Linked DNA regions of Lonchura striata. The main gene of each other region encodes a partner of the protein of the gene in region 2 in a complex. Links are inferred from orthologs where the notes say so. Each region holds a gene or a part of one and is shown on either strand. Other genes may lie near its edges.

Evidence for each region.
Region 1: BCAS2 (region 2) and CDC40 share a complex: the UniProt entries of both Homo sapiens proteins name them as parts of the postcatalytic spliceosome P complex. The link is inferred for Lonchura striata from reciprocal best matches to the Homo sapiens genes BCAS2 and CDC40.
Region 3: BCAS2 (region 2) and RBM22 share a complex: the UniProt entries of both Homo sapiens proteins name them as parts of the postcatalytic spliceosome P complex. The link is inferred for Lonchura striata from reciprocal best matches to the Homo sapiens genes BCAS2 and RBM22.
Region 4: BCAS2 (region 2) and CTNNBL1 share a complex: the UniProt entries of both Homo sapiens proteins name them as parts of the PRP19-CDC5L splicing complex. The link is inferred for Lonchura striata from reciprocal best matches to the Homo sapiens genes BCAS2 and CTNNBL1.

What each region holds. Positions count from the first base shown.
Region 1 is NC_134605.1:69,081,229-69,088,988, reverse strand, and holds the start of CDC40 (pre-mRNA-processing factor 17), read left to right. Parts: upstream 1-4,708; 5' UTR 4,709-5,100; coding exon 5,101-5,295; intron 5,296-7,760. UniProt on the Homo sapiens protein: Required for pre-mRNA splicing as component of the activated spliceosome. Plays an important role in embryonic brain development; this function does not require proline isomerization.
Region 2 is NC_134632.1:1,994,779-2,002,718, forward strand, and holds the start of BCAS2 (pre-mRNA-splicing factor SPF27), read left to right. Parts: upstream 1-4,542; 5' UTR 4,543-4,588; coding exon 4,589-4,681; intron 4,682-4,765; coding exon 4,766-4,858; intron 4,859-5,124; coding exon 5,125-5,195; intron 5,196-5,809; coding exon 5,810-5,971; intron 5,972-6,637; coding exon 6,638-6,688; intron 6,689-7,216; coding exon 7,217-7,297; intron 7,298-7,787; coding exon 7,788-7,917; 3' UTR 7,918-7,940. UniProt on the Homo sapiens protein: Required for pre-mRNA splicing as component of the activated spliceosome. Component of the PRP19-CDC5L complex that forms an integral part of the spliceosome and is required for activating pre-mRNA splicing.
Region 3 is NC_134617.1:6,222,340-6,230,027, reverse strand, and holds the start of RBM22 (pre-mRNA-splicing factor RBM22), read right to left. Parts: upstream 3,215-7,688; 5' UTR 3,138-3,214; coding exon 3,084-3,137; intron 2,369-3,083; coding exon 2,315-2,368; intron 1,385-2,314; coding exon 1,355-1,384; intron 309-1,354; coding exon 176-308; intron 1-175. Other genes in the region: DCTN4 (dynactin subunit 4), read right to left, coding at 5,276-5,489, 5,660-5,757, 6,162-6,269, 6,742-6,796, 7,149-7,222. UniProt on the Homo sapiens protein: Required for pre-mRNA splicing as component of the activated spliceosome. Involved in the first step of pre-mRNA splicing.
Region 4 is NC_134619.1:8,136,174-8,143,819, reverse strand, and holds the start of CTNNBL1 (beta-catenin-like protein 1), read left to right. Parts: upstream 1-4,583; 5' UTR 4,584-4,697; coding exon 4,698-4,727; intron 4,728-7,646. UniProt on the Homo sapiens protein: Component of the PRP19-CDC5L complex that forms an integral part of the spliceosome and is required for activating pre-mRNA splicing.

The DNA.
Region 1 (7,760 bases), on a different chromosome or scaffold from region 2:
CAAAAAATACAGGCACATATTTTCAGAAACGTATACACTTTTGATGATATTTTCTGTCCTTTAACTGATTTTAAACAACATTTTTCAGAGAATTAAGAAAGCCAATATAAATTTGTAATTATGCTAAATGTTTATATTCCCAGAAGTCTATAATTAGTTTTGCTGCCTCTCCAACACAGTACTCATTCAGCTTGTGCTGTAAGATGCAGTTCGCAGTACTGCATATGTAGCTGAGGAGTTTGAAGAAGCTGCACAGCTCCCATCCTCTAGGGAAGAGCAACAAATGCAACAAATATTATTTAGTTTGCAAAGTCATCTGAAGTAAGTACAACAGTCTAAGTTGTTCCATTCTTATCCTATATCATTCTTTCTTTGAAACCACACCTTGTAAACATGAAATATATAGCATGTAATCTGTGTCAGACAACCTCAAGATCCCTTCCAAAAAACCTAAGGAGACTGATTCACAGATGTACTGGAACAGAGAACTCTTTTTGCAATCTGGCGCCTTGGTATCTTTCAGAATCCGGGATATAGTCCAAAATAACAAAAACTAGAAAAGGGGTATTATCACCCTTGCAGCAGTCAGAGGCTCCAAGGTAGTAGAAATAGCAGAGCGCGAGTTCTAAATTGTGCTTCAGTCTCCAAGCAGCTAAATTAGAGTACACCTTGATGCATCAGACACACAAGCAGGTGCTTATAAAAGGGCCCAATCCAAATGCAGTAGGAGTAACCTGATAAGACTTACATCATTATACCTTTTCTCAGCATATGAGCATATGAACCAAGGCAAAAAAACTTGATTTTCTTTCAAATGCTGTAGCCCACAGACAATAGAACTTCATATTTTCATTCAATCCTCTGTCTGATAAGTCATGATTTTTTTTCCTTCCTTTCCTCCAAACTGCAGCATTACAGATCTTGGTGGATGAGAAGTGAAAGAACATGCAAGTGGGCTGATAGCAATTTAGGAGTATTAAAACACAGAGAGGAAAAACGAGAATAAGCAGAATTATATGCATCATTTTTTGTGCGGATGAAAAAACCAGCTGAAAGCACAAGAGTGTGATATAAAGCATGCCCATCATGGAAATCAACAAAAAAAGAACTATGAAAGAAAGTAAAGGGAAAAAAAAGTAGGATAGAATACATTAAAAGCAGAGGGAAACAGATTTTGCGATCAGCTATAGGGAAGAAAAAGACTGAAGGAAAATTTGTGAAACATTGAGTTAAAATTTAATATAGTGTACCCCAAAAGGTGAAGCAAACCGGTCTCAAACAGGAAGTGTTGGGGGGGGGGAGTTGATGGGTGTTCCTCCACTTGGAAACTAGCTGGCTGAAACTAACCAAATTTGACAGAGGTGTAGAATTCTCAAAGATACCTATAAAATGCTAAGTTCATGAAATCAAGATGCTGTGATTGTCCTGACCAAGGGAAAGGATTCAGAATGCACTAACACCCTGTCAGACATTAGACAATCCACAAAAGGATGAGACTGTACTAAAAAAAAATTCCATTAGAGCTTACAACCACTCTCAGGGTTTAAAAAAAACCCTGAACAAATCCACACAAAAACCAAACAAAACAAAACAAAAAAACCAAAACAAAACAAAACAAAAAAAAAACCAAAAAAAAACAAAACAAAAAAAGGTAAAAGCCAGGCTTCTACTGCTCAAGGAACCACTCTTAAAATACTTCTTCCTCTTTCCTTTCACCAGGGAAAAATACATGGTAATACTTGGTACAGTATTTACCACCAGGAGTAACAACAAACAAGTGTTAAAAGGCCCACTTGATATGTTAACTGTCTCCCTTGCTGTACAAAGGGAGACAGTTTTTGCTTCTCTTGCTTTAATTTTCCAAAGGAATGTAAGTGACTGCAAGGAAAAGCAGCAGTGAAAAAGCTGGATGGAAAGCAAAGCCAAGCAACCCAAACCATCTCCCACCCACTACTTCAGTCTGCCTCAGAACCAGCAGCATCCAACGCATAACAACACATTTTATGGAACTCGGTTAAAAGGGAACATACAGCATACAGCAATCAATGAGCAGAGCTTTTTAGAAAAGCTGTATCATCCTTTCAGTTTGTTTTATACCAATCAAACTCTTTTTGAAATTACAAATATGCCATTGATAGTCAAGATAAGCCAGCATATTAGCTCAACACAAATGACCAGGAGCAACTCCTCAGCTTTTCTGACAAAACCAGATTTTAGATTATGGTGTATATTAGCCATCTACACTTTCAAAGCATAGTCAGGTCAGTTTTTCATACCCAGGAGTGACATTGACTTGCTTGCTGAAAATTAATCTTTGCTACTATTTAAGCAACGGGAAACTTCAGACAGTATTGCCCTGAATGCCTTCACATGTATTTGCTTATCTACTACTGCTGGTACCAGAAAGGCAGCTAATTTAAACCAGTAAGTGATTTTCATAGGTTCTACAACAAAAGCACCCAGAATCCCAGATGATTACATTTCACTGGCAAGCAAACTTGGATGCTTGAATACAACATAGTTGAACATACTTATGTCAGCCACCAAAGCTTTGTGACTCAAACACCTAAAATTCAAGGTTAACAAGGCAGAACTACTTTAATAATTTTCAACACAGTTCTCCAGATGAAATATCACACACTGGTTGCACAAATAGGCCTTGAAATTTTTCACTTTTCAGGAAGCACACCTTTAAACTTCAGACAATACCTATGATCTGCATGCCAAGAGAAAAAGGAATGCAGTCATATGGAATCAGTTAACAATTGCTGCCAATAAACCAACTGACTGCAGGGGAAGAGCCCCTTTTGATATTAATAAGCAGTGATTCATGTGAAGCTTCATATAGCTTTCCTTACTTACGGATTCATCATCCATAGATTTACCATTAAAAAGTCAGCTCATTACCATATGAAATGCTAGTTCAGTGCAGCATATTTCAGTTGTTGGAGATGCAAACAAAAGGTCTTGGTGTTGAAATGTGTGGGACTTTTACCTAAATCCTGTCCTAGCATACAAAAACATAGCATACCTGTGTCTAATAGAACAGATCTTAATGCAGCAACTTGCTCCACTCCACACTACCAACACTTTCTATATGTCCGCTAGATTTATTCTAGCCTTTTTTAAAAAAACAAATAAAACCAAGTGATACCTTCTCAAGCTAAGAAAACAAATATGTCAAACCGCGACCGCTGAGAAGGGTGGAAAATTCAAAGTAGAGCATTTAATCAGATTAAATGCCACTGTGTCACAATTAGATGTCACTGTGCGCTCACTTTAATTCTGAAAGCACATGCAGCTCGAAGGGAAGTCACGGCACTGTACCGCTCCAGGTGCAAGCGCGTGCAATGCACGCACCTGGCGTTACAGCCGGCCCTCGCCCGGCGCTCCGTCCTTCCCGTTTCTCCTGCCCGCGGGCGCAAAGGAAGGCGTTCGGGAGCGGGCTGGGAGAAGTTGGAACCTACGTGCTTCTCCTCGCTCCCGGCCATCCCCCGCGATCTCCAAGCCCTCCTAACAATGGTAGCAGTGTTCCAGCGGGCAGCTCTGCCCTGGAACCGGACCGAATCCCCCTGCGCCCCGGCCGGCGGTCCCGCCGCCCGTCCGCACCTCTGCCCTGGCCAGCCCCGGCCCCGCGGCGGGGAGGGGAGGGGGCGCCTCTCCCGCACCTGGCGGCGGTGACGTCACCCCGCCGCCCCCCGCCCGCCCGCGCGCTGACCCCGGCCCCGCTCCGCCGCCCCTTCCCCGCCGAGCGACCCCGCCGCGGGCACACGGGGCGGCCGACAGCGGGAGAAGGAGAGGGAAGCGCCGTGCCCCGGCACAAGTGCGGCCCCCTCCGCTCCCCCGCCTCGCAACACGCCCCCCTCATGCCCCTGCCCGCGGGGGCTGCGGGGAGACGGAGGAAAGCGGCTCCGCGGCGTGCTCCCCGCTTCCCTCCATCACACCCTCCCGCCGCCGCCCCCCGCGCGGGCGCGGACAAAGGGGAGGGGACCGACACCTGGCGAGCGCCGGTCCCTTTGTGGGGTAGGCGCGTCCCGCAGCTCCGCGGGCGATGGGGAGCGGGGGCCGGTCCCTGCCGCCCGCCCCAGAGACCGCGAGGGAAGGAAGGCAGGGGGGCGGGGGGCACTTACTCGCCTGCCCTCGCTGCGCACCTTCACGCCGCTCAGCCTCAGCCCCTCCCTCCGCGGCCGCCGGGCGCTGGAAGTTCAGGCGGCGCCGGCCATTCCCAGCCGGCGGCTCCGTGTTTCGGGGGGCGGCGGCGGGCGCGGAGCGTCCCCGGCGGCTTCACAATAGACACCGGGCAGCGCGCGCGTGTCTCTGTGTGTGTGCGCGTGTGTGCGCGCGCGGGGGGCGGGGCCTCTCCCGGCGCGCCGAGCCGGGCGGGAGGGAGCGGGGGGGAAGCGCTGTTTACCCGGCGGCCGAACCCGGCCGCCCCCCCCCACCGCCCGACGCTCGGGCTGGTCCATGCGCCGCCGCCCCCCACCCCGCGGGCGGGCAGGTGGTACAGTCCGGCCCGCCGGGCTCCCTCTCCCCGGCGCGGGTGGGGCGGAGTCCCGCCGCTGTGACGTAACAGAAGCCGGCTGTGTCAGTGGCCAATCAGCGCGAGGGGGCGGAGCTCCCCGTGCACGGCACGGGGCCGGAGTAGGCGGGAGCCCGCGGATGACAACCCGGGGTTTTGCAGGGCTGAGCTCTGCGCTCCGCTGCCTTCTGTTGAAAAGACAGCGAAGACGCTTTGTGTGGGGGAAGAAGCGGGCGGCTGGGGTTCTCCCCGGGAGGTTGAATATTTCCCCCCCTGCCGCCGCGCAAAGTGAAGGCGAGCGCCGGAGGGGAAACTTCCGAGCGCGGCGCCGCGTTGCATGCTGAAGCTTGTAGTCCTACTATGGAGTCCTGAAAGGTTAAGCACCATCAACAGCCAAGTGGGATGTTCTCCCATCAAATGCCTGTATATTCTGTAACCAAATTTAACCTTTAGAGTGTGTTTTCTATTTTGATAAGCCACAACTATAAGACGCAGCTCCACTCCTCTCCTGCGGGGGAAGGGACGCCTCGAGCCTTGAGGAGCTGCCAGGACCTGTCCCTCCCGTCATCCCCCGCGCCAAGATGTCGGCGGCGATCGCCGCGCTCGCCTCCTACGGTGGCTCTGACTCGGAGCCCGACTCGGAGCCCGAGACCGAGGGCGGCTCCCAGCGCTCCGCCGCCGTGCTCGCCAGCCGCGATGCCGTGCTGCACCTCCGGGCGCCGCCCGCCGCGCCCCCTGCCCTGCCCGTCGATGCGGCCCCGGAAGTAGCCGTGAAGGTAGGCAGCCCCCGGGCCCGGGCCGCCCGCCTGCCCGCGTTGTGTCCGCCCCGCCGGCCCGGGACAGTGCTGGGGGCAGCCCCAGGCTGGGAGAGCGGGACGGAAAGGGCGGGGTGCCGGGAGGAGTGCGTTGCCGTCACCTGGCCCTGCCCTGCCTTGCCTGGAGGTGTGGGGGTCGGAGCTGTGGCGGTGAGGGCGTGGGTCGGGGAGCTCCCGTGGATTCCAGCCGCGGGGGTCAAGTTTATCGAAGCGTGCTGACTCCATCTCAGAGCGTGCCTCGATTCCGATTCTTTAGATACTTGTTTGCTGTTCCCTATGTAAGGTGTTTTCCTGTGTGGCTTTTCCGGGTGATGGGGTGAAGTCGGTACTTCGTAGGGTGGCTGCTACTGAGTCGTCTTCGAAAGGGCAGCCCGAAAGCTGATTGGTGTTTGTGTTTCGTTATTGCCGGGGGAACCTTTATTTTCCAAGTTCAGTATCCCATCACTTTTGTGATACCAGAAGGGGAGTGGGCAAGGTGCTGGTTTAGCTTGGGAATTTTTTGTACAGGCAATAAATTACTAATCAAAAGCAGGCATCTTGCCGTGATAACTGTTGTTACTGTCCTGCTGTCACATGCTAGAAAAGTTTCTTGCCTCGTGACCAAGAGGTGGATGGACTCCTTCAGTTTGTTGTCATTAGTTAATTCCTGTCACAATTTATCATATTTTTTTGTAGATGTTGTGTTGTGTATAGTGACTACATTTGTTTATCTCTTAGAGGCTTGGAAATCTGGCTTCTCAAGTCACAGCATCCAGCAGGCTGTCTTGTGCACATTTGAAAAGAAGCGCCGATTAACATCTATAATATTTGAAACATAAACTTTAAGGAATTTAGAGATTTCAGAGGAGCTAAGATTTTAGTTAGAAATAAGCCTTACTAGAGTTAATTAAAATAATAATAATAAATGAGTAGGCCTTGATGAAGTTAGGAGTTAGTAGTTAACTAATAATTGATTGCTTGTCAGCACAGTGTTTAGTTAGCTGTGTTTATAATGAAGAATATAGAAACTGACAAATAGTGTTTAGGAACATAAGACAATTGTGGGCCTCCTCTGTTCTGAAACCAATTGAAGACAAGGAACGGGAGTTCTACCAAGAGTTCATTTGTCATATTTGCATTGAAAAAGTAGAAAGGTCAGAATGAGGAAGACTTCATTTACTTCCTCATTTTGTGACCCCTCCCCATGAAAGGGACCACCGACCCATTTCAAGGGACAAACTACTCATGCTTAATAGCTTTTGGAGTGATTAGCATACAAAGCGGGGAATGGGATGTGTGGGAACTCAAAATGTCTCTCAGACATTTTTAGAGGTTCCAGGCCTTGGTCAGAAGAATTTTAGACCCTGGCAGGCAGCTGAAAACAGCTGTGATTTTGAGTTTGAGCCATGGAATGAGTTACCAACTTTGGAGGTGGAACAAGCAGTCACAAAAGGTTAGATACTATAGTAGAAGTAATTACAAAGTTGAGGGGAAAATTTTTTAGTATTGTACAGGGGGATTTTTACTTTGTACATGGGGGTCAGAAGTTCTAAGATGGAGGAAAGTGGGCTGATCCTGTTCTTCCTCCTTCTTCTTCCTTGCCTCCATGTTCTTGGTGATGTTGGCACTCACGGATTGGTTTAGAGTAGAAAAGCACCTTGTAATATAGGTAGTAGGTATTGGGGGAAAACTATAAACATGTAATACGTAATATATCATATAAAAGAAAGCAGCAGCCCTGGGCGGGGGGAGAAAAGAAGAAGACAGCAAACAGGGAGGGTGTCAGGAGTGTGTGTGTGTGTCTCTGCCCGGGCCACTGACCAAGCAGCCGCAGCCCGAGAAGACAATCTTTTAGATAATTAACAATAAACTGCCTTGAGACCGAACAGCAAAAGCCTGCAGAGTTTTTCTTTGGAAGCACAAGTTGGAGGAGGAATTTCAACACCACATGGGAACCCAGAATAAGGCTGGGGTTCCCACAGGGATGTACCAAAATTATGAATATGTATTTGTATTTTGGGTATTCAATACTTGTATGGATAAAGACTCTGTAATCACCTGGAAGGTATGGTGTGTATTTGGGAGCTATCCCACACACTGCCCGGCATCAAATAAACATACACTTTCTAACTTTAAACTGTTAGAGAGTTTTTGTCCATCACAGTTGGATACCGGTACTAGATCAATATCCGTATTTTTTAATAAATCATATTTCCTGAGTGTTAGTGACAAGTGGCAAGTAGCACTGGATGTGCTTTCCACCACCCTTAAGCCTGTAGCAGCAGGTTTTACCTTTGCCTTGCCAGCACAAAGGTTTATGTAGCTCCTCAGGACTGGCAACTACTGGCAACCACAGCTTGCATTTTTGGCAGTTGAGAGTGTGAACCTGAAATGGTTGGTGTTCTCCATTGTAACTGTTTCAGCTGTTTCTAGTCCAGAATTTTGGC
Region 2 (7,940 bases):
TGCTGACCCAGAGATGGGGCAACTGAGAGGTGTTTTAAAAACTTTTATTCCATTCTCAGTCTCATGTGAAGGGTGAGATAATGCAGTGTTATAATTCACACCCTCACAATCAGAAATTAACTATTTCCTAATTACAATACATTATAAATGTTTCTTGGCCTATCAGCTTTTGGAGAGTGTCCCTGTTGAGTCAGGAACGGGTAATAAGTGACACAGACTCTAGGTCAGAAGGCTAATAACCACTTTATTAAAAACCCATTCCTTTTTATACTCTGTTTCTCTACAGGTGGACCTGATTGGTCCTTTAATTAAAACACATCACCATTGGCTAATTAAGAACCCACCCTTTTGGTAAACATCTTATGAGGAAAACAACTCATTACAAAACACCACCTATGGATTGTTTTAATTCTTTCTCTCCAGCTCCCTCAGACCAATTCATGGGAAAGCTTATCTAGTGTTGGAACCCTGGATGCTGAGAATTTTAAATTTTCTGTGCTGAAAGGCACAGACCTGCAAGAGAGCACTGCATTGACCTGAGGCTGTGGGGAAGGCTTCCAAAATTAATTAGCAGCACTGGGATTATGGGTGTGGAGTTTGTTGGAAGTGTGGAATGTCACAGGGTGGAAAACTTAGAGTTTGGGGTTTTAGAATATAGAAATAAATATGAATCAAGATGGAGGTTTTAGAGCTGAGGCAGGTTGTTTTTCACCTTCTTCTTCCTTCTTCTCCATGGGTTTGGGTGGTGGTTTGTAATTGGACAGAGTAGTCCACAGTGCAGGCTTCAAGGGATCAGTTATTGGGTTAAAAAAGAAAATAATTTAGCTGTCATTTCTTAATTGGATAGTTTAGCCTCAAAAGACCTTGTAACGAGAGATAGTTGGCCATTTTGTGCCTGGTTAATGAAAGACTGCAGAACTCACTGCTGTGAGACTGGAACATTGATAGGAAATTATAAACACCTGAGTCTGAACATGAAATACCATCTGAAGTGCCTTCAATCCTGACCCAAATAGAGGTAGAAAAAGGAAGCAGAAAACCTACAATCTAGCTTTCTCTCTCTCTGACCAGATTGTCACCTTGTCTTGGTTTGGAAAGACAGGTGTTTGCTCAGAAAGGCAGGAGCACCCCCTGAAATGAAAAAAAAAAAAAACAAAAACATGTAAACCCCCTCTCTCTGAATTGTTATCAATTTGAAATTAAAGGGGCTCTCAGGCAAAGATATGGGAGCAGGAATAACAGTTCTTTTATTAAGGAAGAAAATAAAAAGACAAAATAAACAATGCAGTGAACCAAAACAACACTGGCAGAGTCAGAACACAACCTGACACCCTGTTGGTCAGGGTGTTGGCTGCAGTCCAATTGGGAATTATGGCTGCAGTCCTCCTGGAGTGGCAGGTGTGGTTCTGTTGGAGCAGTGTTCCTGTATGAAAGGGTGTAGTTCCACAGAAGGGTGTAGTTCCTGTAGAAAAAGATGTAGTTCCTGAAGAAAAGGGTGCAGTTCCTGTAGAAAAAGGTTTAGTTTTCCTCTGAAGAGGCAGCTGTTTCTCTGGGTAATCCAGTGCAGGAAAAGCCATAATGGTGTTCCAGAAACTCAAGATTATATCCAGGTAGAAATGCTCCCTCCGGGTGGAGCATCTCATAATGGGATGCTGTAACTTTTATCAGTCGTGGTGTGACATTCAGTAGCTCGTTATCAGCAGATGACTCCCCTGAGAAAGGACTGGTTGTGGAAGAGATAAAGAAAACTGCCCAATTAACAGAAGACAACTGCCTCACCTCTAACAGACAACAACTGAATGCATCTTGCCTCGCAATCTATGACACACATCCTCAGGAGAGGAATGACCAAAGTGACAAATGTCCTCCCCACAGGTGCCACGACCCTGAACTCCCTGGTCTCGGAGGCTTTTGTGCAGTTCTTCGTGGAGATCGTGGGGCACTACTCCCTGCACATGAACGTGACGGAGCAGGGCCAGCGCGTGTTCCAGCGCGAGCCCTTCCGCAAGTCGCACGGCTCGCGCACCGTGCGCCACTTCCTGCACTGCTTCATGGAGACGCAGATGTTCGCCGGCTTCATCCAGGACCGCGAGCTCAGCAAGAGCCTGGCCAAAGGTGATGCCCTGGGAAAGAGCTGGGCAGTGACGCTGTCGAGGCAGGATGGGAATGAATAGACTGATGGAGAAGGCTGTGAGAGTAAAACTCTGGTTTATTCAGAATGCACCGCTCTTTATACAGACAATTCCATTGGTCCCGAAGTGAGAACAACCACACCATTGGTGCAGAGTGCTTGACGAACAGTGATAGAACTTAACTATAAACAATGTGAACAATAAGGAGATAAACCTCTTATTTACATTATTTTCCAGCAGATTCCCAGCCTTCTGCCTGGTTAGAAACTTTCTGTTTCTCTCTTTGAATCTGAGACCCACAAGACAGAGCTAAAGAATAAAGTAGGGATTTATTAAAAGGATCTCCTCAATGGATCCACCTTGGCAGCACAAGAGCCCAGCCAGGGCTGCACCCAAGATGAACCAAAATGGTCATAAAAAATGGACAACTGGTCACGAGGTCTCTCAATTTTATAAGTTCTGCTCAATTTGCATATTGGAGCTAATTGTCCAATTACAGCTCCAGCCCATGAAGTCCCATCCTTCTTGTTTTTCTCTCTTCATCCCACGTTGTTTGTGCTTTTGGGCCTGAGATTTGGATCATTTGTCCTTGGTCCCCAGATAGTGAATTGTTTTGTCTCCCTGCTCTGTGCAGAGAGCTCACCATCCCCTAATATGGACCCCAGACCCACACACTAAAGCAGCACAGAATCTGAAAAATATAAAAGCCAAAACCTGAGGCATCAGTGGCATTGCCCTCTTGTTTCTTGTTTTGGCATCACTTTCTTGTTTCAAGTCTGCTCCACAGACTCCTCTCGAAGTACAATGCCACCTGCCTCTGCTGCTGGAATTCTGTCACATGGAATAGCCCCATGCCCTTCTAAATTACTCAAAAGAATTCAGTTTATAAAGCAAAGAATTTCTGCATCTCTGTCCTTTCTCCTTGATCCTGCAGCTTACACACACTGTATGCAGGATTTCCTTTTGTGGCCTTGTTAATCATGATGCCACGTGCTAAATGGTGGAATAACTGATTTGGTGAGTGATTTTTAATTTTTTCTTCTCTTTAGGCCTTTTTGAGGTCCGTGCCTTGGAGTATTTGGAGAGTATTCCAGAGACAGAACGAACTGGAATGAACAAAATCCTTCGCAGCCTTGGTAAAGGAACACCCCTTGCTTTTGCTCATTGCTTATTTTTTAAATTAATTGTAGCTATTGAATAATTCACTTGTTACAAAAGAGAGAAAGGCTTCTCCTTCTGTATCTGGGTTCCCTTGTTTACATTTACTCCTTCAGGGGACACTGAACACTGTGTAAGATTTTTCTTTTCTTTTTAAAATATTGTATCTTTAGATGAAATTTGTGGAAGTTGCTGCTCTGCATGCTTGTTCCTTAACTTTGGTCCTGGCTGGGGACATGCCCAGGGGACAGAAGTTTTGTCTGCTGGCAGAGGTGGTCATGTGTGGCTTTCCACCTTAAGTTCCTCTGCCTGATGAGTCCTGGAGTGTCTCCATTTCACAGAATCCCACAATGATTTGGGTGGGACCAGTCCTGCCATGGCTGGAACACCTTGCACTGTCCCAGGGTGCTCCAAGCCCTGTCCAGCCTGGCCTTGGACACTTCCAGGGATCCACCAGCAGCCACGGCTGCTCTGGGCACCTGTGCCCGAGCCTCACCACCCTCGCCTAAAGCTCCTAATGCTGTTTTTTCTCTGCAGGCAGTAAAATGAAATTCCTCCAGAAAAAGTGACCGGGCGCTGCTGCGGGACAGCGGCGGGAGGGGGAACGCGGACCCCGCCGGGGCCGGACCGAGCTGTGCCCCGGGAGGGCCGGGCCGGGGGCTCCGGGTGTGCGGCGGGTACATGGATCGATAACGAGTTCCATGGACCGATAACCAGCTCATGGACCAATAACCAGTTCATGGACCGATAACCACTTCCATGGATTGATAGCTGCTCTCCTGGATTGATAACCAGTTCCATGGACCGATAACCAGTTCCTGGACCGATAGCAGCTCATGGATCAACAACCGGTTCCACGGATCAATAACCAGTTCCACGGACCGATAACCAGTTCCGTGGATCAATAACAGCTCATCGATCCAACCGTTCACGTGTCTCCGTTCCTTAAGGGGGCGTGGCCTGGCGGGGAGGGCGTGGCCAGGGCTGGAGTCGCTCCGGGAGCGGCGGGACCGGGCAGGGAGGGGCGGGGCCACGTCGGGATCGCTCCGGGAGGGGCGGGGCAAGGCCTGGAATCGCTCCGGGAGCGGCGGGGCCGGAGCTGGAGTCAAACCGGGAGCGGCGGGGCCGCGAAGGGGCGGGGCTTGGCCTCGGAGGGGCGGGGCTTGTTCTCGGGGGGCGGGGCTTGGCCTCGGGGGGCGGGGTTTGTTCTCGGGGGGCGGGGCTTGTGCCCGAGCAGCGCACCGCCCCGCCGGGCGTGACGTGTTTGCGCACGCGCAGTGCGCGCGGCCGCGGCCAAGATGTCGGGCCCGGGGCTGGTGGCCGGGGATGTCGTGGTGGATGCGCTGCCCTACTTCGATCAGGGCTATGAGGCGCCGGGCGTGCGGGAGGCGGTGCGTGCGGGGCCGCGGCGGCGGCGGGGAGGGGCCGGGGCGGCGGGCGGGCTGTCCGCCTGCCTGACGCCCCGTGTGCGATAGGCCGCGGCGCTGGTGGAGGAGGAGACGCGGCGGTACCGCCCGACCAAGAACTACCTGAGCTACCTGCCCGCGCACGACTACAGCGCCTTCGAGGTGAGCTGAGGCGGCCTGGCAGCTCCCAGAGCCCGGCCCGGTGCCCCCATACCCCGCCTGGCCCCACTCCGTGACCTGGCTGGGACAGACCCTGCCTGTCCCCGTCCTTGCCCCGTACCCCTCTCGTGTGCCCGTACCCCTCCTGTGTCTCTCCGCCCCTGCCCCGGCTGTCCCTCCGCCGTTATCCGTTTGTGTCCTGTCTCCATCGTGCCCGCTTGTCTCATGCACTGTTCCGCCCCTGTCCCTCACTGCTGCCTTCCCCGCAGACCGAGATCATGCGGAACGAGTTCGAGCGCCTGGCGGCCCGGCAGCCCCTGGAGCTGCTCAGTATGAAGAGGTGAGTGGGGCCGGCAGGGCAGTGCCTGTCCCGGGTGAGCCGTGCCCGGTGTCCCGGGTGAGCCGTGTTCAATACTTCGGATGAGCTGAGTCTAGTGTCCCAAGTGAGCCATGCCCGATGTTCTGGATGAGCTGTGCTTCATTTGAGCTGTGCCCGGTGTCTCGGGTGAACCGTGCTCAGTGCCCTGAGTGAGCCGTGCCCCAGTTGAGCTGTGCCCCAGTTGAGCCGTGTCCCATTTGATCCATGCCCGGTGCCCCAGGTGAGCTGTGCTCCATGTGAGCCATGCCCCATGTGAGCTGTGCCCTGGGTAATCCATGCCTGGTGCCCCAGGCGAGCCGTGTCCCAGGTGAGCCGTGCCCAGTGCCCCGGGTGAGCCATGCCTGGTGTCCCAGGTGAACTGTGCTCCATGTGAGCCGTGTCCTGGATAATCCGTGCCCGGTGCCCCAGGTGAGCCGTGTCCCAGGTGAGCTGTGCCCGGTGCCCCAGGTGAGCCGTGTCCCAGGTGAGCCGTGTCCCAGGTGAGCCATGCCCGGTGCCCCAGGTGAGCCATGGCCCAGGTAATCCATGCCCGGTGTCCCAGGTGAGCCGTGCCCGGTGCCCCGTTCCCTTTGCAGGTACGAGCTGCCCGCCCCCTCCTCTGGGCAGAAGAACGACATCACGGCGTGGCAGGAGTGTGTGAACAACTCCATGGCACAGCTGGAGCACCAGGCCGTGCGCATCGAGAACCTGGAGCTCATGTCCCAGCACGGCTGCAATGCCTGGAAGGTGTACAACGAGTAAGGCCTCAGCTGCTCTGCTGAGCACCAAGTTCTGTGTTGATTTCTGTTTGTTTATTGGGTGTAAATCCGGTGGGGATCTCTAAAATGTAGCCTGGAATAGATGAAATCCTGTGAGAGAGCTGTGAGTGAAAGAGGAGGCTGATCTCAAAGCTGTCTCTGTGGCCAAGAAACAGAATGTGTTTAATACATCCCACTCTTGAATGTTGTGGGTTATTGTTGATGCTGGTGGGTGTTAATTAAGGCTAGTGATAGCCTGTGAAGAAATAACTCACTAGTGGAAATGGAGATGAGTTACTACAGATCCTGGGCTTAGCCTGGAGCCATAATAAAGCTGCTGCAAAAGCTAAGAAGAGGTTGTAGAGTATGGCTGCAGGAAGTACTGGGGTTAATTCAGAGAGAGAATGTTAATGTCCACTTTTGAGAAGGGTTGGCTGAGCCTTAGATAGAAGAGTAGGTCAAAGGAATGCCAAACGTAGCTCAGGGAGAAGGCAGAGGGTTCCTGAGCTCAGGAGAAGGGAAGCAGGTAAAGGATCTGCTGGCTGGAACAAGGTGCTGCAGGGGCTTGTTGAATCCTGAACTCTGAGAAGTTAAATGTCAGATGAAATGGGGCTGAAATTTTAGCAGTTGTGTGTTTTTAATGCTTTGCTTGCATTCTGTCATCAGGCACCTGGTTCATATGATAGAACAAGCCCAGAAAGAGCTTCAGAAATTGAGGTGGGTCATTCTTATTTATATTTTTGTACTGAAATTGGAAGTGAACCTTTCTCTCCCCCCAAGCTGTACAAAGGAAGATGTGTATGCTGGCTGCTGCCATGGTCACAGGGAAAAAGACCCAGTAAAAACAATGATGAAGAAATGTGACCCTTCCCTCCCCAGTCCCATTCATCATGTCTGTTCTACTCAAAATTCTGTGTTTGATTTGTTTAAATCTCTGCTCTGGATTTGTGGAACCCTCCCTGAAATGTAGCAATGCTTTAATTTCACTACTGATAATTTAGTGTGCAATTGTCTCTGTAAGGACATCTTCCCTGATGTTGGGTTTGGCCTTTTACTTTTATTTATCTCAGGGCTCTTTGTGAGCCCTGTACTGAGATTTGTCCATCTGGATGTTGTCATTACAGTCCTGGCTACACAAATATTTTCTGGCAGTACTTCTAGGGATTGAGTGTACTTGGAAATTAGCAACAGGTACTGCAGATGCCAAAGAAATGAGGAAATAAAAATGCATCCTTTTCTCCCCAGGAAAAACATTCAAGACCTGAACTGGCAGAGGAAGAACATGCAGCTCACAGCTGGGGCTAAGCTGAGAGAGATGGAATCCACGTGAGTGTTGATATTTCTCGGTTAACCCTTCCACAGCTTTCTCCATTGCTTGAAATTTACTTGAAATTCTTCTTCCACTTGAAATTCAGTGATCCTTTGGTGCTGCTGTAGGATACTGTTGCTTTGCAGGAAGTGTTTTAAGGTATTTGTAGTTTGGTTCCATATTATATTTACTGAAATTGAGTGAATCAACAGGTAGGAAAAGAGTGTATTTATTAGCTGCTTCAAATTTCCTAAATTGTCTTAAACTGTTCTTTATCTCAATATTGGCAGTTGGTGGATGAGTCTAGTCATTACATTTTTTGTGTTTTCAGGTTTAACAGGGTTAAAAATTATTCATTGTCACTTCGGTTGTTCCAATGACCATTGATGTCAACTATAGCATTATTTGGTGTTTCTGCTAGATTTGAAGGAATGGTTGTCTTTGATTTTTAACCAGAGGACGTTTACATAACACCTAAAGGCTCTTTTTATTTCTTTTCCCTTCCAGGTGGGTCTCTCTTGTCAGTAAAAATTATGAGATTGAACGAACTATTGTGCAGCTGGAAAATGAAATTTCACAAATCAAGCAGCAGCATGGGGAAGCAAACAAGGAGAATATCCAGCAAGACTTTCAGTGACTTTATCCTGACTTATCTTAGTG
Region 3 (7,688 bases), on a different chromosome or scaffold from region 2:
TCTGCTGCTCAGGGAAACAACTCTGCACTTGAACCTCTGAAGAGATATGACCACCAAGACCTGTCCTTCTCAAAGACTGTCCAGTGACAATAACATGCACACATTTAAAGTGATTTCACCAGCTCCCACTTCAGAGGGCAGCCCCCTGTCTTGGATCAGGTTTTTGGGTACACACCATATTCCAGGTCGAGCAGGCAGGTCTGACAGACATTCTTCAGCTTGCTGCAGGTCTGGCACACTTCTGTCTTCTTGAAGCGCATCCGCACCCCGGGGCACCAGCGGAACACCGTGAAGGGCCTGGCACAAATCTGGGACACAAGGGTGGCACTGGGTTCACTCTACACAGAGCTGCCATTCTGCTTCTTGCATGGAAACAAACTCCAAACTCATCCAGCTTCTCCAAACCATAAATACAACTCCTTTGTCCTAAAGCTAAGACTCGGAGCTCATAAAATATTTGTTTTTATTTGGGGTTTTACTTTGACAACAAAAAGTTTTAGAGAAATTTTTGTTTTGTTTTGGTTGGTTTTTTTTTTGTTGCTGCTTTTCTTTTTATTTAATGCAATAATCCAAGTGCAGATCTACTCAAAGATCTACAAATTCTCTTTGATTCCAGGTGATGTCAGTGTGGAGCTTCTAGAGATGAATTACAACAATGGGTATATCAGGCACCAGCACAGCAGCAACCTGGAAGAGCTTATGACAGCTTTGGTGCAGAAGAGTGATGCTCCCTCTTATCTCATGGAATGAGGCATTTGCTTCCTCTGCATGTACACCTTGAGTACACAATACAATCTCAATATGTACAGACTCCAAATTATACCTTTTCTCTACTACCTCAGATGGAAACTGATAAAAGGGTAAAAGCCTCCTTTAATTTCCCTCAGTCCAGGCAACACTGATTGTTTCTTGCTCTTGGAAATAATTGTGGCTTATTTCTTGGGCAGACAACACAAATCACCAAATAACATGAATAACATACATAGTAAAACCCAAACTCCAGGTATTTTGCACTTCTCAGTAAAAAAAAACAAACTCACCCAAGAAGACATGGATCATTTTAAATCCTGCAATAACTTCACATATAGTACAACAGTATTTGCAAAACCTCATTCTGATAAACATCAAGATTTGTTTACAGACTCAGGATTTACTCAATAATTTTACTATTTTAGGACCAACTGACTCTAACAAGCACAGCAGACTAACCTAAAAATGTATGTAGTTACATAAACATTTTAAGTTAACCCAGATAAGCACTCTTCTGAAGCTGACAGGTTTTTAATCTTTAAGATGAATTGTTCCTAGATCTGCACTGATTTTGACTATCTTTCGTCAAAACACACAAACATACCTTGCATTCTTTTCCATATTTTTCTTTGGTCTGAAATATAAAAAATAAAAAACCATGAAGCTTCACCAATTCAACGTAAAACATGGAACATATCATTGATGTTGTAACACAGTAGGTTTTTTCATAATTATGCTGCATTTAGACTCACTCATCCCTAAGTATTTGGCTTACACCTTGGACAGTCAACAGGACAAAAAATACAAATCCTAAATACTCTCAATACACTTTTGGTTTAGAAACTTCAATTAAAAACAGAGTACTTTAAGTCCCACCTCCTGTACTGATGAAAGGTGAGAATGAAAAGGAGCATTAATAGCTCTTTTTAAGGCGAGATGATGCTACATTGAATAACTCATGGAAACAAACGGGTTTAGAAATATCCCCTACAGTAGCATCAGGGTTATGTTTCACAAGAACAGCCCAATCTCCCTCAGCAAACTTTGTGGAACACGAATGTGAAGGAGATAATGTCAATGTAGGTCATGGGCAACCCGGGCAGGCAGAGAAAAGCAACAGAACATGGACTGACTCACCCTGCACAAAGCAAACCCAGGAAAACAAGCAGGAACTTAAGCTACCTTCCTAAGTTACCTTTAACTTGACTTTAGAGGTGCATGTCTGTCACATTTTAGAAATTGCACTGATTAGAATTTGAGCACCTCACAGCTGTCCATGTTGGAGCTTGCCAATACAAAAATTTCATTTTCTACTGTTTCCTGTACTCCAGACATTGGGCTGGGTAATCTCCTCACCTTCGTGATTGATTTGTTCTTAATTCACACCCTAACTGTGAGATTACACACCAACAGCAGCTGGAACCAGACCCTGCTGTGCAGAACCAGCTGTTCAGGAGTGTGCACAGCATCTCCTCCTGCACCCAGCCCGATTTCAGTCCCAAGCCCACAGTTTTAGGGCCACCACAGAGAGAGGGAAGGACTGCAGGCTCCAAGAGGCACATACCATCCGGATATAGGGATTTTCTCCAAGACACGTCTGGCACAGGATAGGGAAGTCCTGAATTGAGCAAGAAGAAAATTGGGAATTTGTCACAAGCTCTGCCATCACAACAGCATTCAAGTTACACTCTGAAAAATGATCTAGTTTAACTCATCAGATGATTAAAAGATGCAAATGGATTCAGAGACACCGGGAGAGCTGCAAGCCACGACCCAGACCGAAATTAATATAGAATCATACTATGGTTGTTATTGCAGCTTGTTGTAAAACTTAAAATAAGCAAATAAAAAGAGATTATTAAGATCTGAAGCTGTCAGTGCCTGGACTGCAGCAGGTGACATGGCCCCCGTGATGCCTCAGCAGCGACTGTATGCACTGGGCCCACTCGGGAAGGGCTCCAGCTGGAGGGGACGCGGCCAGGGGCACTCGAGGGGCCCAGCTCGGGCCCCGCAGCTGCCACAGCCCCTGCAGCGCGGCGCGGGGGAGCAGCTCGTCCCCTCTGCCCGAAAGGAGAGCCGGGGAACCGCGGTGGAGCCCTCCGGGGCGGCTCGGCCGCAGGGGGCGGGTCCCCAGGGAGGACGGCCGGTCCCCAGGGAGGACGGCCGGTCCCCAGGGCCGGTCCCCAGCGCGGGTCCCCAGAGAAGGTCCCAGCCCCGGGGCCGCCTCCCCGCGCTCTGCTCGCCTCGCGGCGCTGCCGCCCCGCCCCTCCCGCGGCGGAGCAGGGCCCCGCCGGGCCAGGCCCGCTCCTGCCGGCCCCCGCGGCGCCGCTCACCGCATCCTCCCAGTTCTGGCGGTTGTAGGTGTTGGAGCCCAGCGATGTGGACATGGCGGCCGCGCTCCGCGCCGGCAGGCGGCGGCCGGAAGTGACGCCACACCCCGCAGCGCCGTGACGGAAAAGGCGGGCTGAGGCAGCGGTGACGTCACCGCGCGCGGCGGCAGGCGGCGCTCCAGGCGGAGCTCCACGGGCGAGACCACGGGAAAGGAGGCGGGGGGAGCACGGGGACGGGACCATTGGGAAAAGACGGGGGAGCTCCGCCCTCTGTTTTGTTTAAATAATGATAATTTTGGAATAAAAGCCAGCGCAAAGAATCCAAGAGCCACGTGTGGTTTATTGAAGGTCACTACACGACGTCAAGCATCAGGCAACAGGCGCCTGTGGCGGAGCAGGGACAGACGCAGGGAGACGCCAATGCCTTTCCTATGGCCTAGGAGAGAAGAGCTCGCCCAGCTGTCAGAGCGACACAACCCAATGCACCTTTTGTTTGCAGCGAGAAGGGCGCAGGTCACTGCCTGCAGCAAACCCCAGCCCCAGGCACAGCTCTAGGCTTGGCTCCTGGGAGGTCTTTCTGTGGTAGCAAGTGCAGCAGCTGTTTTGGCTACTGAACCGAAGTTGTGGACAGAGGTGAAGTGCTTTGTTATCTAGACAGGGAAAGCCGCAGCAGGCACTAGCACTACACATTAACTACTAACTACAAGTCTCTAACTCATGCTGTACATCTGTGTGTCACCTACACAGAGCTGTAAACTGATGCCTCGCTGCAGAGACCCGCTGTGGGACCAGGCCTGTGAGCTGTGAGCCCCTCCAGCACACCACAGCAGGTTCCTTGCGCTAGGGGAGATGTTTTGGGATGCTGCACCACCCCCCCAGAGAGCAGGCAGCCTCATCCTGCCCCTCCACGCAGAGGATTCGCAGATGCAGGCTGCCAGAGCCATGGCACAAGCATCATGACACGGCCGTGGCTGGCTGGTATTCAAGCCTTTCCCAGCACAGCAGCACGTCAAAGCCCCTCAGAAATGTTTAACAAAGGTCAACGTCTGAAGTGGGAATGCTCTGCAGGAAGAGCCATCTCACCTGCCTGCACCAGCCATGCACTTCTTGGTAAGCCAGTCTCCTGGATACACAGCTCTTAATCACTCATTTTAGCTTGGACTGCAGCCAAATTATACCCTGGGGTACATGACCTTCTGGTACAGTGTGTGTAGTTAACATATAATGAGTTTCCACCTTTACACCTCCCTCCCACCCGCCCTAACTGGAAAAACAAAGATTACAACCCAAATCACTGCTGTAGCTTTATAATTACCAGAACTAATCTTAACGCTTCACGTTTCATAACCTCATTGCTACAACCCCTAGCAACACAACATTTACTGAGCTGAGCTCTGCCAGGGAGCCTCTCTGGAGCATCCCTGCTTCTCCAGAGCATTCCTGCCTCAGTCAAGAGCTGCAGCAGAACCTGAATTCCCAGCTTTCAGCACATCCTGTGCACATCCAGCTGAGATGCAGCGGTCTGATGGTGGGCTTGGTTGCCAGTCAGATCCATGAACACTACAGTACACTATGTTTAAAGTTTAAAGGCAAACTGATCAACTCCTTTGTGAAAAAACCTCTACCACCTTGGCTAAGCAAGCTACATAGGCCAGAGGGGTAGGGCCCTATGGCCCAGCCCCCACAGTTGAGGTATTCTATGACAGAGCAGAAAACCAAGAGAAAAGATCATGCTGCTGGCAGTAACTTGCCAGAATGCAGAAGGCAGGGACACTCCTTAAACTGTTTGTTTGGTCAGGGCATTGCCCTTTGTGAAAGAGAAGCTGTTCATTGGGTATGTAACATCAGCTTTGTGGGCTGACACGGGGAAAAAAAACAGTATGGGTTCTTTTCTGCTGCTAAATCCAAATTCAGCCCTAATCATCTGTTGAGGAAGATCTTCTGTGCTCTAAGACGTGCTGCAAGTTACTCTAGCCTGTGGCAGTGAGGGGAAGTGGAGTGGTGGTTAGTGGGCACTACGACAAGGGGAGAGAAAACAAACCAGCCCAAACCACGGCAGCCTCAGCCCCCTCCTGGCAGCTGGCCGGGCCCGTGGCACACCCACACATCACAAAGGAGCTCTGGCAGAACCTTCCACCAGGTGCTTTCTCCGGGTGCCAGTCCATCCAGCCGTCGGGAGCGAGCGCTGGGAGCCGCTACGGGAGCACGGGGCCGAGGCTGAGCTCCACGTGATGGGTGAGCCAGATCACCTCCGACGTGTGGTCACCATCCTCGTTGGGCCGGATGGGAGCAGTGAGGTTTTTGAACTCGTGCTTCATCTTGAAACTCACGGTCACTTCACCCTCTTCTTTCTGTGGGGTGACCTTGATGAAAACTCCCACTTTATTGGCTTTTCTAAAGGCAATAACGCTGCAAGGCAGAACACACAGGAACACTGGGTCAGCCAAGTTCTCAAAGCATTGTTCTAAGCAGAACAATGCTCTCAAAGGAACTCAAACCACACTGAAGGCACACAGGAGGAGAGGGAGTTACTCAAAGAGACAAGTTTTTAAGGGAGAGGATCCCCACGGGACACTCACTCAGGGTCATCCTGGAAGTCTTGAGGCTCTGCCAGCTCATCATACTCTGCTGCAGCATCTTTGCCAGCCAGAATAAGCTCCTTGGGAGGAACTGCCACCTGAAACAGAGCATGGAGAGAAAGAAGCCTTTCAGCACTGATCATCAGCTGCACTGCAAGCAGGAGAGGGCTCTTCTCTTCTGAGTTCTGCTTCACTGTGGTTTAACAGAAAAGTGATTCATCCTCAGCTTTTCCCTGCTTCAGGACCGCTTGATTACCATCCTGACAGTGAAATAATAAATTTCTCCCTTCGGTTTTAGATATCAACAAACTGACACAATTTCAAAATACTTAATGAGCTGCTGTCACAATTGTGACAGTCATTTAAGCTCCAAGGAGGGAAAGGCAGCACAGTTAGCAGGGGCTGAAGGACATATGAAAAGTGTGTCCTGTGGAAGGACAAATGGGAGTGGCAAACCCTGGAAGAGGCTTGGACTTACCCAGCAGGAGGGTACAATCAATACCTTGGCAGTGCTGTTGATGTTATCAGGGTCTCCCTCCTCACACTCCAGCAATGTGACATGTGTGACGTTCTCCACGGGATTAGTCAGAGTCAGAAGGACTTGGCTCTCCTGAGGAGATTCAGGAATCAAAGTTCAAGAAGCAATTGTATGAAAATTCATTGTTACTGTAAGCATCTCCATCTTCTCTGACTCATCAACACATTCAAAAACTGCATCACATCCTCTCAATGGATGGACAGAGACTACCCCCTGTTCATAAAACAGGCACCAATGCCATGCAAAACTCTTAATTAATATAAGAAATATGTATTTTGGGAGTCTAGCTGAAATCTCAGTTTCACACCTTTTATTCTTCAGACATTGGCAAGTGATGATGTCACACTGCACAGCAATCTACTGCTGCAGTGACAAGTACATACAGTGTTACTCTGGCCACTCCCTTAAACCCTGTACCCTCTAAATGGAGTGAGTGGAGCCCTCAGGGAACAATCATCACACCATGTCATCTTCCTAAAAGATTCCCACATTCACAGCTCCTGGCTATGTCTCAGCCTAAGACACTTCTGGAAAAGCTACTGACCTTCATGTAGCGCAGGTTGGGAATAGACATGATTCTCACTTCAGGGATGTAGTTACTACAAAATAACAGAGCAAATGACTGTGAGGGACTCTGCTGCTGTCTGTAAAGCTATTAGAGCTTTCCTAAAAGGAAAAATGAAGGGTCATTTTGCAGCATAACCCTAATCCTACAAAACCCTGCTACAGTCTGCGGCTGGCACAGCATGCAGTATTTTTGTCAAACTGCTGAAATCTTAAGTAGATCAGCAAGCCAGCCTATTACAGATAAGCTAAATATAATTAAAAAAGGTGATTACATGATCCTAAGGGATGATACAATCCCACAACAGGTCAAAGGAAATTTAAATAGAAGGCATTAACTAAGCATAAGCAGGGAGTTGCTGTCCCCAGCCCCCATTTCCTACTTACACAGCAACCAGCTGGATCTTGAATTTGATAGATGTTGGATTGAATTCTGGTTTGCTCAGGTTATGTTCACATTTCTAGACAGAAAGGTATTAAAGTCAGCACCAAAAGACAATGTGCAGTCACACACTGCAGAATCAGAGCCACAAGTGCTGTGTCACTAGCCATTATATTACAGCCTCCAGCACAGCAGATAAAAACTATCTGGGGTGCATGTCCAGTGTGTTCAGCTGTTGATACTCCAAAATGCCATATCCAGCACTACCAGCACAACCTCAGAAACACAAGACTTGGAACAGTCTTGAAAACAGCTGGACACTGACTGCAGCACAAATAACTATACTCCAGAATCCATTAAAAAAATGAAGCAGCTAGACCCTATGATCTCCTCATAGGCTACTCTTCAAACACAGGATCAGTCTGACATTACTTATTTCTGAGAAAATACTATGCATTTGTTAAGCATCCTGCATCTTAAATACTTACAATAATATTGCCCTATTACTTTAGGGACCAGATAAATAAATATCCTTGTATGACTGA
Region 4 (7,646 bases), on a different chromosome or scaffold from region 2:
TTTCATTGCTTCATCCTGAAGGGGCGGGGGAGAGGGAGGGGAAGATCTGTGCTGGGGCAGGCAGGGCTACAGCTGCCTGCACCCCCCATGCCACCATTCCCCATGGCCTTGGGAAGCTCCTATGCTGGGGACATGCAGCAGCTGTTCCAGCTTGGGCAGAAAACCTGGGTTGTGTGGGGAGGGGGCAGCTTCCAGGACTTAGCTGTGGGGTGTCAGGGCACACCCAGTCCCGGCTGGGACACAGCCCCCGAGTGCAGGTTGATGCTGGCACAGGTGGGGATGTGCAGCCTCACAGATAGATTGGTAATTTGGAGCATGAGTGAATTCTGGGAGCATTTGCTGAGCTGGATAATAACGTGCCCAGTGAGCTGCATCCCATACATGCTGCCAAATTAAAGAAATTTTTTTCTCCTTTAATTTAAAAGTCACCGTTGGGAAATCTCCACTGGCCACAGCAGTGATTTCCCCTAGGCTGCCTTTCTGGAGAAATCTTTAATTTTGATTGTCACACTTTGTGGAGTTTATGTCAGGGAAGTAGAGCCATAAATAAGGTGCTGCTTCAGCACCCAGCCTCCAACTGTACCAGGACAGTGAATGGCACTGCCACAGGTGGGGAGCAGGGACAGCCTGACCACAGGCATCCTCTCCCCTTGCACCTTCCTCTTCCCTCCCCACTCCAGCCCCATCTACCCTCAGCTCAGTGCCTGGCTTCTCACAGCCTGATTTCACAGGTCAGCAACCTTCAATTTCCTGGGCCCATCCCCACCCCTCCCACCAAATGCTTCACAGGTTCATGAAAATCTCATTAACCATAACACCACAGCTGGGTTCCTGTGCTGGCACTGGAGCCCTCCAGCTCCTGCTGTGCTGTGCCCTGGCATCCAGCACCACGGGACCCCAGGACCAAGCACACAGGGATCCTGGCCAGGAGCTGTGCCAGGCTTTCAGGGTGGGAAGGTGGCACTGGAGAGGGAGGGCACAGGCTGTGTTTTGCTCCATGCTTACAGCTTCACAGCCCCAGCTCAGCTGCTATGGTGCTGTGGGGCTGGAATGGGTGTCATAGTCAGACTGGGGAGGTGGCAGCTCTCAGGGCTACCCCAATGCCTCCAGCTCGGGCAAGCAGCACACAACCCTGATAAGGGGCCTGTCCTCTCCCTCCTGGGGCCTGGGGAGGGCATCTCCCAGCAGCTTTTGAGTAATTAAGAAGCGGGAAGGGATTCAGGCAGCTCCCTTCGGCATGGAGCTGGCACAGTAGTGCCGGGCGAGCTCAGGAAAGGTTACACCATTTGCATTTTACCCTTCAGTAATTCCAACACTTACGGGTGCAATTAAGCAGCAGCCTGGTGTTATGAAGCTATCAGGGCGGAGAGACCTGAATTCCAACGATCTCCGTGTGCGTGCCTGTCCCAGACTGCTCCATCTGTCTGCGGTGACACCGCGCGATGCCGGTGGGTCACAGGGACGGGCTGTGATTCCATCTGATGAACATTTTTCCCTTGCTGGCACCCAGTTTTGGTGCTCTCGGAGGCTGAGCACACGGAGGGGAGTGAGTGTTGGGATGGTGGAGCAGGTCCAGGCTTGTGCCATACTCGTCACTACAATAAAGCATCTGATCTGACGGTGCCTCGAAAGAACAGCCCCTGGCCTGCTTTGTTTGGTGTGTGACCCCCTGATGTGGCAGGGCTGGATGGACCACGATGCCTGTGGATTCTCTGCCGTGGAACAGGGTCTCCTCAATGTTCAGCAGCCCCTACCCTCTGTGGGAGGATGGGGGCTCTGTGGCCATTCTCCTTTCCTGCTTCAGTGGGACAGCAGGCTGGGAGAACTGCTGCCTTTCCCTTTAAGCATCATCCCTGCTTAATTCGATGGTTTTGAGTCCCGGCTCATGATTTCTGCAGCAATTTGGGCTGAGATTTCTCTCTTTCCCTCCATTATCCACTCTGATTAACTCAGCTGGCCCTGTCAGCTCCCATTCCGGCGCGGGAGCCCTGTGAGAGCCTGTTAAAATGCATGAGCCTGTGGCAGTCGCTCCACTGCCCAGCGAGGCTGAACTGAGGGAGGGGGCTGCAGGCAGCAGGGTGGTGGGGCTGGGGACTGTGGGGGTCCAGGGACAGGGTGCAGGTGCTGTGGGGGTGCCAGTGTCCCCCTCTGTCAGTATGGGGGTGTCCTGGCCAGAGTTGAGCCAGGGGGAGACCCTGTGGGGTGCAGGACCCAGTCCCCCCCACATGCCAGGCTGTTGGGCAGCTGAATCTTCCCCCATGCAAAGGCTCGTTTCCCATTGCAGCTCTGACTTGTTCCCTTTTTCTCATTTTAATAAAGACGAAAGCATCCGGAAACGCGGCTGCACCCGCCAAAGAGCGAGATCTGACATAATTAAAAAGTGGCTTCAATCAGGCTGTTTTCCTAATGGTTTGTCATATCAGCCCGCACGGCCCTGCACCCCCTGTGCTCCCAACCCCCTGAGGCATCATTTACATTTCTTAATAACCCCTCATTAATATTCATGACGTGGGGAGGGTAATAACGGCTGAGTGCACACCACTAATTCAATTTCAGCGAGCCTCTGTGTGTTTAGTTAATCACTGGGGGACCTGGGTTACTCAGTACAATTATTTATTCGGAATTAGATCTCGAGGCATCTGGATTGAAACCTGAACTCGGAATAAAATTAAACCAGGATTCTCCTCCTCTCCTCCTCCTCCCACCTTCGCTCCTATCCATGGTTCTGAGCATCCCCTGCAGCCCTGCTTTGCTGGGATGAGGATCTGGCGTTTCCATGCTGAGACCATTGCATAAGCCTCACCTGCAGCTGCTGCTGGGTCCTGGCTCCTCTGTGCCCCTCCAGGGAAAAGTGTCAGCAAAGGCCTGGGGACATGGTCAGCCCTGAGGGTGGCACCCCACTGCCTGTGGAAGTCAGGAGTCCTTGTTCTCCTGACCAAGCCAAGTCCCAGGGTTTGCTCCAGCCTATCCAGAGCCTTCAGCCTCTTATCCAGCTTTGTTGCATGTTCCACCTGGGAGAGGCTGGTGCCAGCCCCAGCACCACTCAGCTTCTCGTCTCCATCCTTCATTTATTTGAGAGCTTTTTTAATACTTTGGTTTTGCTCCTGGTTTTGCTTTTTAATTCAGTATTTTGTCCCTGTGCTCCAACTCACCTTATTGGATAAAAATTCTGTTATTGCATCCTGCCCTGTAGGACTGGATGAGAACTGAGCGGTGCCTCAGTTCTTCAAATTCCTGCTTTTGTTTTTTTGAGTGATCCCCCGACCTTTGAGTCCTGTCAGGGAGGTGAATTGAACATTTTCCATCCCTTTTTTCATCGAGGCGAACGCTCTGGCTGTGCTCAGGTTGGGGCTCTGCTTGTCAGTGATGATTTTTGGCTTCCCCCAGCTCCTCCCAGAGCTGCTCCACTCAGTGGGAATGAGGTGCAAGGGAAGCCCTGGGGCAGGAGCAGCTCACCATATTCTGTGTCTGTGGGTGGTCAGTCCTTATCCCCAGTGCTCTCCATGTGTATGCTACACCTGCTTTTTGTGGTTATCCCTGGGTGGGGGGGGGTCAAGCTTCCCAGTAGCTGAATCCTGTTCCTAGTATGTGCCAGTACCCCTCAAGGGTCTCAAATTGTGCAGGTTTCACAGCTGGGGAATTATCTGAGCACTCAATATCCCAAAGCCAGATGAGCTAATAATTATCTTCTATTTATCTCATCTTTAACATGCAGATTTGTTGAGTTAATTTTGCCATGACCGATCTCCTATATTTTCTTGAAACAACAGGGGACGCGAGGGACTCCTTCAAAAACATTATATATTTTTTTAATTTTCTGAGATTCCTCAAACCAGACTCCCGCTGAGATAACTGCGTAAGAGCTGCGATCATTATAAAAAAATTATTTTAGCTCAAAACTGTTTTTTTTTTTTAAAGCATAGCTGCAATAAATTCAGTAGGATTTTGGCCGAGTTGCCTCTCTCCTAATTATTCTTATTTGTTAAATTGAGAAACGCCTCAGTCTGTGCGGGGTTCTGCATCTTGTGGAATTGCAGGGCGGCTTGTCACCAGCTCGGCAAGCGGAGGGGCCGCCGCTGCCGCGCTGGGAGCCGGCTCCCGGCGTGTTTCACGGTGACAACGGCTCCCGAGGGGCTGGGAGCGGCAACAACCGCGGCAGCCTTTGGAGGTGGTGGGAACGTGCCACAAAAGAACGCCGATCCCGCGGGCCCGGCGGTGCGGGGCGTCGCCTCCCCCGCCGTGACAGCGGCGCCCGGCCCGGGGCACAGCGGGGACGGCAGCGCCGGGGCCCGCCTCGCCCGTGGCGAGCGCCCCTGTCCCCGGTGGTGTGTCACGCTCTCGGCCTCTCCCCGCCCTGCGGCACCGGGGAGGCACCGGGGAGGCACCGGGGAGGCACCGGGGAGCCCCCGAGCCGCGCCCCGGGCCCCGCCGGCGGCCCCTCTCCCCTTCGCGACAGCGCCGCGCTGCTTTACGGCAGTGTGGCGCCTCCCCGTCTCTCCCTCCCCGGCACGGCGTCCACCGCCTCGCTTTCCGGCAGTGTGGCCCCTCCCCGCCTCTCCCCGGCACGGCGCCCACCGCCTCGCTTTCCGGCAGTGTGGCGCCCCCGCCGCCCGGCCTGCGCTGCCTGCCTTACGGCAGGTGTCGCGCGGTCCCGGTGGTTTGCGACAGGCTCCCGGTGGCGGGGCCCGGTGGGTGCGATGGACGTGGGGGAGCTGCTCAGCTACCAGGTGAGCTCGGGGGGCTGCGCCCTGCTGCGGGTGCCGCGGTGCCCTGCGCTCCCGTGGCCCCGCTGCGGCGGCAGCGATGCTGCTCCAGCTCCGGTGCGGCCGCGGGCCCGGGGCGGCCGCCGTGCGGGGGTCACCGGCCCCACTCGGTGCACGGGGTCTGGTGAAAGTGTCGCTAAGTTCTGGGGGTCTCTCCCCTTCTTGTGCGCGGCGGTGCCCGGTAGGAGCGGGTTCCCGGGGCTCGGCAGCGTCGCCGGTCTCGTTTCGGCACAGATCGGTGCCCGCCGGGGCTGCAGCGAGGCCTCTCCTCCTTCCGTGGCTGTTCCAGCGTCTCTTTCTCCCTGTTGTACGACAAAACCTTTTCAATTTCATTTTTTATCAAAATACGTTTTTAAAAGTTTTCTTTATAGAAGTTTTCCTTTACTGGGTGCGTTTCGTTCCCTCGCCCTGCGTTCACTGGTGGCTCGCTGTGTGCAGGTACCGAGTTTTGATTTATTGTCCCAGGAGCAGATTTCCCTGTGGAACAGGGAATGAGGGTTGGAACTGCAGGAACATTTGGATACCTTGGCTGGGATAATGCCGGGCTTGGCTTCAGTTCTCAGCCCGGCTGCAGCCGTGGCGTTTCCCTGGGTGAGGAGAACACCCCGAGGCGGTGTAAGAGTGGCCAGGTGTGCTCCCGAGCTGAGAGCGCAGAATTCCTGGTGGAACTCGGTGCCCTCCTGCTGTGCCTCATTCCGTGGGGCACAGAGATGAAGTGAAGGGGGTGTCTTGCTGTTCACTCCATGTTTGTGCTTTGGGAATGCGTTCTTTGGAGATGCTCAGGGAAAAAAGACAAGTTGCTGTTGGGTTTGAGAAGTTTCTCAGCAGTTTTCCCAATGGTATTGAAGTTTCTGGGGCAGTCTGAGAGCTCCACTGGATTCTTCCTTGATAATCTCCAGGATGTTTCCTTCTGTGGATTGCTCTGTCTCAAACATCCTTCCACACCCTGCTGCATCCAACAGCACAGCTCTGCTGGTCTAAGGTCTACTCCACTTCTGTATTTCCCTATCTTCTTCAAATGTGATTTTTCAACATCAAATTAGAATTTTCATTCCTTACATTCCTTTGAGTCTTTGGCCTCCTCCACCCCATCTGGGGCTTAACAATGCCATCCCTTACATGTCTGGGATGCAGGTTAAGACACAGAAGTTTAACAGGTAAACCTGAATGAATTTTCTCATTTTTTAGCCAAGTTCCAGTTTGGGGTTTTGTTGGTTGTTTTTTCTCTTGCTCTCAGAATGTGAGCTCCCCAAGGTTCCCTCCACTCTGGAGGGGAGTGTCCATTCACTTTGCTTTGCTCACTTGGATTTTGTGCAGCTTTCCCTTGGATGAGCTTTCAGCACGGTCAGGGGGTGATTGCTTGTGACAGTGGGGGCTCTATTCTGTCGAGGTAAAGAAATGCTGCTTAGCTGCAGGGTATCTAAATTTTAATTTCATTTCTTGCTGCTAAAATTGTTCTTAGCTGTGGGGAAAAGCATTCTGCAGCTTTCAGCCAGCTGCTGAAATAGTTCCTGAAGGATTTGTCCTGGCTCTGTGTGCTCCTGGGCAGCACAGCTGAATGCAGGTGCTTCTTGTGTCACTAGCTGAGGTGGTGCTTTAGTGAGCTTTGGAAGCCAGTGGTGTTGAATTTAGACCTCCAGAACTGGGGCAGTGGTGAGTACAGGTGAAAGAAGTGGAGGAGCAGAAGGCAGGCAAATAGCTCTGCTTCTGAGAAAATGAGATTCCCTTCTGTGAGGGCATTTCCTGCTGAGAGGTGGGGAAAAATAGTTGGAAGCAGCAGATTTCACTGCCTCCCATCCTGTGGGTCAGGCTCTGCCTTTGGGGAGGGTGGCTTGAAGAAGATGGCCAGGGGAGGGTGGCTTGTCAGCTCACCCAGCAGCTCCTGGCCCACTCCAGCCCTGGATTTGGGAGCTTCCCTGCTCTGGGCTGGCTCAAGGTCTCCTTGGCTGTCCTTATCGAGGGATGGTACCGGCTGTCGGGGAGGTGGAGTGGTGCCTCAGCTCTCTGATTTTAATCTCTTGCTGCAAATGAGTTGGTCTTCTCAACCTCCCTCAGCACAACCCAAAATAATTGCTTTCCTCTTACACTATTTTGAATTTTCTCCTCTAAATGTGTAATCTGTGCCCTTGCTTCAGCAAGAAGATGTTCTCCCTCAGAGCCAAACTTGGCGTGGAAGACTGCAGGCACCGTGCCACCAATTCAGCACCAAGTGTCTGCCAGAACAGGAAAAGAAACCTCTTGCAACAAAAAATACAATTAAACAGCACCTGGCCATTTATACAAAGCTCAGGAATCCATAAACTTTACGTGTTGCTGCAAAACAGTTGCAGATGGTCTAAAGTGATGATTAAATATTGCTGCTGTTTGCCCAGATCCTCCGTGTTTGGTCTCTGATTACAGAGGGTAATTAAGAGGATAAAGCCAACTCCGGGGCTATTCAGAGTCTTCTTTCAGTTGTCTTGGGAGGGAATAAGGGACATTATTTGAATTCTCATTAAAGGCAGATTTCACCACCGTGGGTGATCATTGCAAAGCGCTGATTTTTTGCTGGAATGTCAGTAAAATCAAGTAGCAGAAGAAGCAGTGAGGGATGGGGTGAGATGTGCCTCCACCCGCTGGGCCATCTCCCCGTGCTCTGTCGGGGCTGAGGGCGGTGTGTGCAGGGATGGATCTCTGTGCATCCACGGGGGCACATCATCATTTCTGCTGCTGGTACGGATAATTTGCTGTCAATTTGCAATGTAATGGATGCATCTGATGGTAGGGGCAGCTCAGCTGAGCTGGTTGTTGACTGCTCACAGAATTATTATCCCAGTAGCTGCTCTCCTGGCGGCAGTTAAAAAAAGGAGCCGACATTGGCTCAGCTGTCTGCCTCATCCCTTG